Linked DNA regions of Schizosaccharomyces pombe. The protein of the gene in region 1 purifies or fractionates together with the protein of each later gene. This does not show direct contact. Each region holds a gene or a part of one and is shown in the gene's direction. Other genes may lie near its edges.

Region 1 (4,493 bases):
ATTACTTCTTATAAGTCATCGTATGTTTTACTTTCTTCTTGGACTTGTTAATAGCTGGAATTTTTCATGGTTGGATTTTAGCGTTGTCAACGTGCCGCTAAAAATTTACTTTAATTTTATGGGTTTCTAATAGAATGTTGTTATCTTCGAATTTTTAATTCTCCTGTTTCGGTACAAATATTGAATTTATGGAATGCATATAAAATTTATATAGGATATATGATGCACTTGTAAGGTGTCTACCGTAATGATAATTTTTCACATCTGTACCGGTGTATAATATATTAGTGAAACACCAACTTATCGACATTAACATTTTAATAAATTATCTACAAAGGTCTAAACATAAATGATAGCATGTTCAGTAAATAAAAAAAAAACATAAGACCATGAAAGCTAAAACATTGTGAAGCTGATGTATGAGTAAATTTAAAACTTGTGCGCAAAAAGTTAATCGTCAAAGCTAGATATGTTAATAATCGAAAATTTAACAAACAGCTTACATGTAACGCTCAAGTAAAGCACAATTTCCTCCATTTTTAAGATTTACTGCGAACCGATAATAGTGTCCTGAATAAGAAGCTACTTGTATGTGCGGACCGCTGCTCGAAAAAATTATTTTTCCATAGAAAGAAGCTTCAGGAATCTTAGCAGTTGCAAATTCTTTCCTAGTGTCCCAAACTTTTGCTACATTTGAAGTTAAATATTTTGACCAAGAAGATGACACAGTTACGGAAGATGTAGGAGACGAATTCGGATCCGATGGTTGCTTAGAGATTTTGAAAACGTGAATAGTACCATTTTCAGAAGCACAAGCCAGAAAAGGCTCAACTGGGTGAAATGAGATAGATACAATGGATGCAGGTATATATCCCCTGCGCAATTCTGTCACCAATTCACCATCACTAGTTGTTATAACACGGATTACAGTTCCCTTTGCGGATGCAGTCGCAATCAAATGTCCACGCGGATGAAAGTCAACTACTTGGACAGCGGAAGAATGGCAATGAATCAATGTGACGGGTATTGCAGTATCCAATGAGGCTAAATAAATATCACCAGGGTTGGTCGGTGAATTATATGCAACATAATTCTCATGAACAGCAAAAGCTATAACATTTCCTTTCGAGGTATTTAGAGTATTAATTAATTCCATGTTTTTTAGATTATATACGTAAATACTCCCTTTAATTAAAACAACTAAACGATTCCATGTGAAACGTACACTTAGCACAGGACTCGGATAAAATATTCGGCATAAAACGATATCTCTCTAAAAATATGGGTTAAAATTAAGAAATCAATGCAGAATCTCAGTTAACTAATTACCTTGATGTCAACCAATTTTAGTAACCTCGTCGACTCAGGGGAAATATTCACGAAAGCAAGTAGAGAAGATTCATAAAGCATTTCACAAATACTTGCCCCATTGGCTTCTACAATCAGTAAGTTATAAGTCGTGTAAGATGGGCTTGTGTTTCCACTTCTCGGAAATTCATTGACAGCTTACTTTTTGAAAAGCACAGGGTAAACGGATTGGAGCGATAAACTTGATAGCCATTCTCAGAACCAATTGATAAAAAGCTAAATTTAGCAGTCAGTACAAAGATTGCACAAAATCTATTTTATGTGTGCCACTTACCCACGATCTTGATTCCACGAACAGTAAAGGATAATCGATGGCATTTCTCTTAAATCGACTGTTAATTTATTTAGTAGTTCACATTCACCCCTGTCTTAATACAATTGCTGATCACGTTCAATGGTAAAAGTAAAACAGATTTGTGCTAAGGCAGTGTGCGTAATTGAAGCAAAAAATAATGTGATTCGTACAATGCAAAAGCTTAACTTTGTAGTATCCAGAATATAAAAGAACCCATTTGAGCCTTTAGCAATTTTGATTAATGAATGTTTTTGTTATGTTTGTATTATGCAAGATAATATATACAGTGGTGCAGCGCTCCTTAATGGTCACCTCTACGCACATTCAAGAGCGTATATCTTGGCAACATCCAAATGTTGAATAAAACTTTTTTTGGGAATTCATGAATTTTTATTGTTTTGGTTAAATTTAAATATTAATGGATGCCGTTGAACCTTCTGTGGAGAAGGAATACAAAAAAATAATTTCTTTTAGAGATACTGTGTTTGAAGGGAAACATCAACAATTTTTGGTTCCGAACAATGTTCGTTTAAAATTTTTAAGAGATAGATTACATAAATCTTTAAAAAATTTTGATTCTGTTAAACGGAAAGTCGAAATTGCAAATGATGAAGGTAATAACAAACTCCTGAAATCATCACCCAAAGCACAAACCAGAGATGAAAATACTCCTTCTGAATTTAAGAATGGAGGTTTTAGTAACAGAGAATCTATGTCCGAAAACTGTTTTTCTAAATCATCTACTAATTTACCACGGCTAGACATTAACCGTGATTTTAATTCCTTACTTAATAGTCAAACAAAACCTGAAGCCACTGGTTTGATGAAAGAGGATATTACTCCCGTTGTAAACACTAGCAAACAATCTTCTACTGGGACTCAAGAGGAGTCCTCAAAACCGGAAAAATCTAATAAATTGTTAGCAAAGAGTACTTTATCTTTGTATGGGAATCAAGCTTTTAATCCTTCTTCAGTTCTTCCTAGCAATTCTTCATCAACGCCTAAGGAAAATAAAAAAAATGTGAATAAAGAGACATATCAACCGAACACTTTTCGCCGTAGTCCGTTGAAAAATGATACTGGATCAGTGGAGTTATCAAACCTGTATATGCCGTCTCCACCATCATCTGCGCTTCCCGTATCGCTTGTGTCAGCTCCTTCTCCTCCGAGGGCAACTAACGTTGCAGTCCCGTGTCTTAAACATTTGGAATCGAGTGAGCAGGGCAATAACCTACTTATTAACAAAGCTTTTACTTCTCCTCGCCTTCCTTCACCTCCCCAGTCAACAAGACCTAGCTCTACTAGGTTTCCTTCGGTTCCTTTATCAGATGAAAAAAACTCAATTGTCTCCGTAAAAAACGAAGAGCCGTCTGTCATTCTGGGAAATCAATCACCAATTTCGGATTTGCATCCGTATTCTCCATCTTGGATCCCCTATCCAAAGGAATTGCAATCGCTACAAGTCAATCGAATACCTGAGTTGTCCTTGGAGAACAATGTCATGTCAACTCGGGATTATAAGGATATAATGCCTCACCCTCGTCCTTCTGCTGTCCTTTTAGATAAACCGGTTTCTTTAGATCAAACTTCTCATCCTTTCCCTCATCAAAATACTTATATTCTACCTCCGGGGATAAGGAATTCTGTAGACTATGACGGCACTTTTCTTTCCCGTAAATCGCTTCCTCCTTATAATGGCATTCATCGTCTTCATGAGAGCCCTTCTCAGTTTTCAAATCAATCAAGATATAATTGGGAGCCAATTTTAGAAAATCGCTCCCTGCTCCATTTGAATCGTCCGCCTCCTATTGAAACGCACTATTCATACGAATCTAACAATTCATCGTTTTCTCCGTATTACCATAAACGGCATAGACAGATTTCTCCATACTACCCCACTTCCTCAGTTTATGGAGTTTATGAAAGTCCGCCTCACATGTCTGATTCTCGTATTTCTCGGCAGCATATGCCTTTAACGCATACTACTTATGAGCCTTCTGCGCCTTATTATAACGACTATGAATTAGCAGAGGAAATTGAGAGGCGTCGTCATCATAGCTTTTATGATTATTAGCTATACTCTTCCGTAAGTGCGCGCAACAATTTAAAAATTGCTTGGCGGAATATTTGAATTTGCATGTTTTTGTTTTAACTTATAAAGAAAATTAAGTACCTTTAGTACTGGTAATGTTTGATGTACATTTATTATAGTAGATAGAATATTCATGTTGCATAAATTGGTTTCGCACTTTCAGTTAACATTTTCAAATTCATTTATACATAAATACTTTTTTAGATGATTAATAAGAGGCGTTTCATAAATAGTATAAGTACTTTGTAAGCCTATTCTAATGGATGTGAATAAACAAAGAGACTATGGATTATGTGAATAGTTATATTACTTTCTTATTCGATAATCAAATTTTAAAGCTCCCAAATGCAAGATTATTGAAGAAATTTTGAAAAAGTTTCTTTAGTTAACATTAGCATGTAAAAGACACATAAACCCTAATTGACTGTAACATAAGAGACCTTTTACTTACGTCTACAGCGATTATTCTACTGGACTTAATAAAAGCAAAATTCGGACGGTCGAAACAACTCATTTAGACGTATGAGTCTATTTATTGTAGGTTAGCTTTTTGAATGAATATTACATATCATTATTTTTCTCTTTCTTTCTCTAACTACTAAAACCTAGGGTACTCATAACATCAAAAACTCAGCAATACAACTTTTAAAGACGAAACTGAAAAATGAATTTTTAAAGGGCGTTAAATGTATTACTAAATATCCCGAAAATGCACATAGCATTTTTAAAGTTCAAGAA
Region 2 (4,520 bases), on another chromosome or scaffold:
GTTGTAACGTATGTACAGACAATTAGAAAAAAGTCAAAAACTGTCTTCCTTTTACCGGTCTGAAAGTGGTAAAATTTTTCTTTTAATCAACGGATAAACAAAAAAGTTATCTGTAGATATAATATGAAAATTTCCACGCCTTAACGTTATGAAATGATCAATTATAGAGAAATAATACTCAAACAATAAAAAAAAGGAATGATTAGTATTTTGTTCTTGTTAAATTCTATTTACCACAAGTGGCGACGCTGTAAATTTAACCTGTTGATTGGTAATCCGTCAGCATGTCTTAAAATGAATAGAATCCAATCATGTGGCACTGTAAGGCATATAGCTAAAACAATATTGTGGTTTTCTTATATATCGTTATTTATGCTTATGAAGTACTGCGCATTTCGGTAAGTCATTGATTTCTACTTTGTTCATACTGATCGAACAAGTCAACGGAATCACCGGCTAATCGACTGAAATGTCGGGTCAAGTGAAAACTTGTGTTGTACTTTTGGCTGCACGCAACTATTTCCAGCTTTGAGAACCATTTTTTTGGTAATTTACATTTAATAGTCAAATATTTTTAGCCCTGTGTTTTTTCGAGAAATTTGATATTCGTATTTTGCCGTGGGTGTCATATACAAATTACATATCGACTGTATAAGATAATAATGATAACTTTATGTAAGACTAGAGGGTTTTTTACTTCAAAAAGAAGGATTTATTAAATGCAATACTATCAAATGATGAAGGCGTTACGAATGTTAAAAAAACCGAAGCCAGGTTGTTTGGGTATTGAAATTCAGAGTGTTCCTATTCCCCAACCAAAGAATGGAGAGTTGCTTGTAAAAATTGAAGCTGCTGCCATCAACCCCAGTGATCTAATGAACGCAACAGGGGGTTTCCCGTATACTGTTTATCCTCGAATCGTTGGGCGAGATTATGCTGGTACTGTAATTAGTGGCGCATCTCATTTAGTAGGAACTCGAGTGTTTGGAACGAGCGGTAGCGAACTATCATTCACTAAAGACGGTACTCATGCTGAATACTGCATAATACCGGAAAAAGCAGCTGTTCGTATGCCAAGCAATTTGTCGTTTACTGAGGCAGCATCAGTCGGTGTCCCTTTTACAACCGCTTATTTGGCTTTAAGCAGAGGAGAAACCAAAGGCAGCGATATAGTACTAGTGGTTGGAGCCTTAGGTGCTGTCGGGTCGGCTGTTTGTCAAATAGCAGAGGATTGGGGATGTAAGGTAATCACAGTGTCTAGGAGCGGCTCAACCGATATCAATACAGTGGTGGATCCGGAATTAAAAAGGGTCCACGAATTGGTTGAGAAAGTTGATGTGGTAATCGATACGGTGGGCGATCCTTTGTTGATGAAATCGGCTCTCAATCAATTGGGAATAGGGGGAAGGTTGTCTTATATTTCCGCACCTAAGCAAGGGAGTATAGAATTTTCGTATGACATGAAACAAATATATCGCAAAAATCTGAAGATTATTGGGTGCAATTCTCTCTTACTTTCGTTAGTGGAATCAAACTCACTATTAAAGAATATGGTCGCCAAGTTTGAAGCAGGGAAATATAAGGTATTAAACAAGAAAATTGCTGAAACATCTCTTACTGATGAATGTATAAATTCATATAGAAAACTTATGAATGAATGTTCTACAAAGTTTGTGATTACTATGAGCACAAATTAAGCGTCCGAAATACAGACTTACCAAATTGTTTTTTCTGTATAATCAGTAAATTTTAAAAGAACTATAAATATTTGCTTTGATCTTTCATATCGTTTATTATTATTATTATTATAAAGAGGTATCTATTCGTTAATGAAAAAAACAATTTTGAGCTACGCTTTAAAGAAGGATTATTTAAATTAAGTAAAAAGGATTTCATTATAATTAAAGCAATATTGTTTTAATACTGATAATTTAAGATAGTTTTTTTTAAAATATCGTTATAAAGCGTCGGTAATTACATTGATGCTACTCCGACATTGTTGGTGCCACCGACTACGCTACTCTAATCTGTCGACTTAGAAATACCTTACCACATCTAATTACTGTAAGAATTTATTTCAAGGACTTTTTCATAGTTTTTTTGTTTTTGTAACGACGTTTTCAAAAAGGTCATTGTCAAACATATAAGCTCTTGCCTGTCGTTAAAAAAAGTAAAGACCTTGGTTAATCGTTGTCGTTCAATTATTTGGGCATTTAACTTAAACAGTTTTGTTTAAGGAAAGGTTCTCAAAGACTTTTTTTTAAAAGATTCACTTATAGAACGAAAGACCATTAAAGTGGAAAACCACTCATTTTAAAACATTGAGCAAACAAGAGCTTTTGCATAATATATCAAGTGGTGGTTTAAAACAGGAAATACTTGGACGATTCAAGTTCAATAAAAGACATTAAAGCTGTTGGTTTATTTTACAAAAAAAAACATCCGTTCGTTATATTTATTTATTAGTTCTAGGCGGCATTCACAATGAACGAGCAACAATTGCTGGAAAATATTGCTTCATTAGCTGGTACGTTTTGATTAAATTGTATTAACGTCTTTTGATTGTCTGTTATACAGAATAAATTTGGTCGACTTTGAAGTTGGATTGGTTTAACTAATGAGCTTTTTGGTTTTTGAAACCAATGAATAATTAGGATTTTCAAGGAGACAGATTTTATGCAAAAAAATATCTTTATGTTTCTTTATTTATGAAACGCTCAGTAATAATATAACTAACCTTTAGGTGCTATCAATCAATATAAAAATGAAAAAGGTAAGATGCCCATTTATGAGGAACTTTGACTCATGATTTTAGCAGAACCTACCCAGGTTTTAGATGCCGCTAAAGCAAATAAGAATACTCGTTCGTATCCCTATTCTGTTTCTAGGAACTATTCTTTTATCCTCAATAAATCCAATCGCTCGAAATCGACAGCTGCTAGCCCTCCATATGTGATACCGTCAACATCATCGAATGCAGACGATGCCAATAAGGAACCTGAAAAACAATCCACATCTGACTATGTATCACGGAAAAACAGACATATGCAACTGATTAAAAAAAATATTCTTGAACATGATTTGCAAGCGAGAAAAGCTAATTTGGAGAGCTACAGAGCCAAGCTTGAGAAAGAATACAAAACTTTAGCCGAAAATAAAATCCAGCAAAGATTATCCGATGGTACTAAACAATTAGTAACTATTGACGGACTGCAGTATATTACCGGTGTATCTGATACCAAGTGGTTGGAATTTGTTAGTGCTAAGGGACAATGTCCAAAATATTTATATTGGAATAATAAGTCTTATCTTCTTAAAAAGAAGAGGTTTCTCAAGGAGGTTGGAAATTCACCTTCAGCTGTTTATTGCCGTTATTATAATGCTAATGGAATTTGTGGGAAGGGAGCAGCATGCAGATTCGTGCATGAGCCCACCCGCAAAACGATATGTCCGAAATTTTTGAATGGTCGATGTAATAAAGCAGAAGATTGTAATTTGTCACATGAATTAGATCCCAGACGAATTCCTGCATGCCGGTATTTTCTATTAGGAAAATGCAATAACCCAAATTGTCGATATGTGCACATTCATTACTCTGAAAATGCCCCTATATGTTTTGAATTTGCCAAGTACGGTTTCTGTGAGTTAGGGACGTCTTGCAAAAATCAACATATTCTTCAGTGTACCGATTATGCTATGTTTGGTTCGTGTAATAATCCACAATGCTCTCTCTATCATGGTGCTGTTTCCGCTGATGTACCAGAACAAACAGAAGCTCCAATATCGAAGACTGCTGGTTCTATAAATCCAGAAGACTCTGGATCGGAAATTGGAAGTAATTCCTTAGAAAGCAACTTGGATTTTATATCCGTTTAGATAATTCGTTTAGCAGTTTGATCTTGTAGAATTAAATTATCGTGTAGTTACGCAATGTCTAAACTTTTGATGATAATGAGTTATAATTTTCTATTAATTGAATACAATAAATTTTTAAAAAATATCATAAGATTTAGAAAGAAAATAGAAAAAGATTTCAACTAGTTGATAAAGAATATTATTTTTTAAAGACTAAAACTAAGAGGCTAGGTAATTACAGCAACAAGAGTAAAATACATTAGATCCACATTTTTTACGATTATCAAAGAAAAAAGAACAAGATTGATGGATCTATCAAACGGAAAATTAAGGTTGCAGTTGAATACCGTCCGAAGCGCTCTTTGAAGCTTCTATAAATCGTCGAGCACTTTGAATGTTCATAAGGGTTACTGCTGATTCGATTTCTGGATCAGCAATGACCACCAATATGTATGTGTCCTCAGTATATGGAACAATGAATGCAGAGAAATTACCACCACGAAGCTCAAAAGTAGTAAATTGAGCTTGCATTTTGCTACAACTGAGTTTAAATTGCTTAACAATATTGCTAATTTTTTCGAACCTGTGAGCATCAGTGGCAGGATTGGACTCAGAAGAATAAGAAGAAATAACCAAAAATGTTGTTCTTTCAAATAATATTACCT

The links. The genes of interacting proteins can lie anywhere in the genome.
Region 2: the proteins of iss10 (region 1) and red5 purify together in Schizosaccharomyces pombe (affinity purification with mass spectrometry; 2 studies listed by BioGRID). This does not show direct contact.

The regions. Positions count from the first base shown.
Region 1 is NC_003424.3:2,609,019-2,613,511, forward strand, and holds iss10 (protein Iss10), read left to right. Parts: upstream 1-2,007; 5' UTR 2,008-2,081; coding exon 2,082-3,737; 3' UTR 3,738-3,984; downstream 3,985-4,493. Other genes in the region: serine/threonine protein phosphatase PP2A catalytic subunit Ppa1, read left to right, coding at 1-14; phosphatidylinositol-3,5-bisphosphate binding protein Atg1802, read right to left, coding at 451-463, 504-1,273, 1,330-1,436, 1,511-1,584, 1,643-1,686; SPOM_SPAC7D4.13C (uncharacterized protein), read left to right, coding at 4,278-4,292, 4,365-4,493.
Region 2 is NC_003423.3:1,049,596-1,054,115, forward strand, and holds red5 (zinc finger CCCH domain-containing protein), read left to right. Parts: upstream 1-2,007; 5' UTR 2,008-2,484; coding exon 2,485-2,527; exon of another isoform or gene 2,528-2,601; intron 2,602-2,737; exon of another isoform or gene 2,738-2,743; coding exon 2,744-2,773; exon of another isoform or gene 2,774-2,818; coding exon 2,819-3,876; 3' UTR 3,877-4,020; downstream 4,021-4,520. Other genes in the region: SPOM_SPBC337.11 (peptidase), read left to right, coding at 720-1,697; Gtr1/RagA G protein Gtr1, read right to left, coding at 4,183-4,520.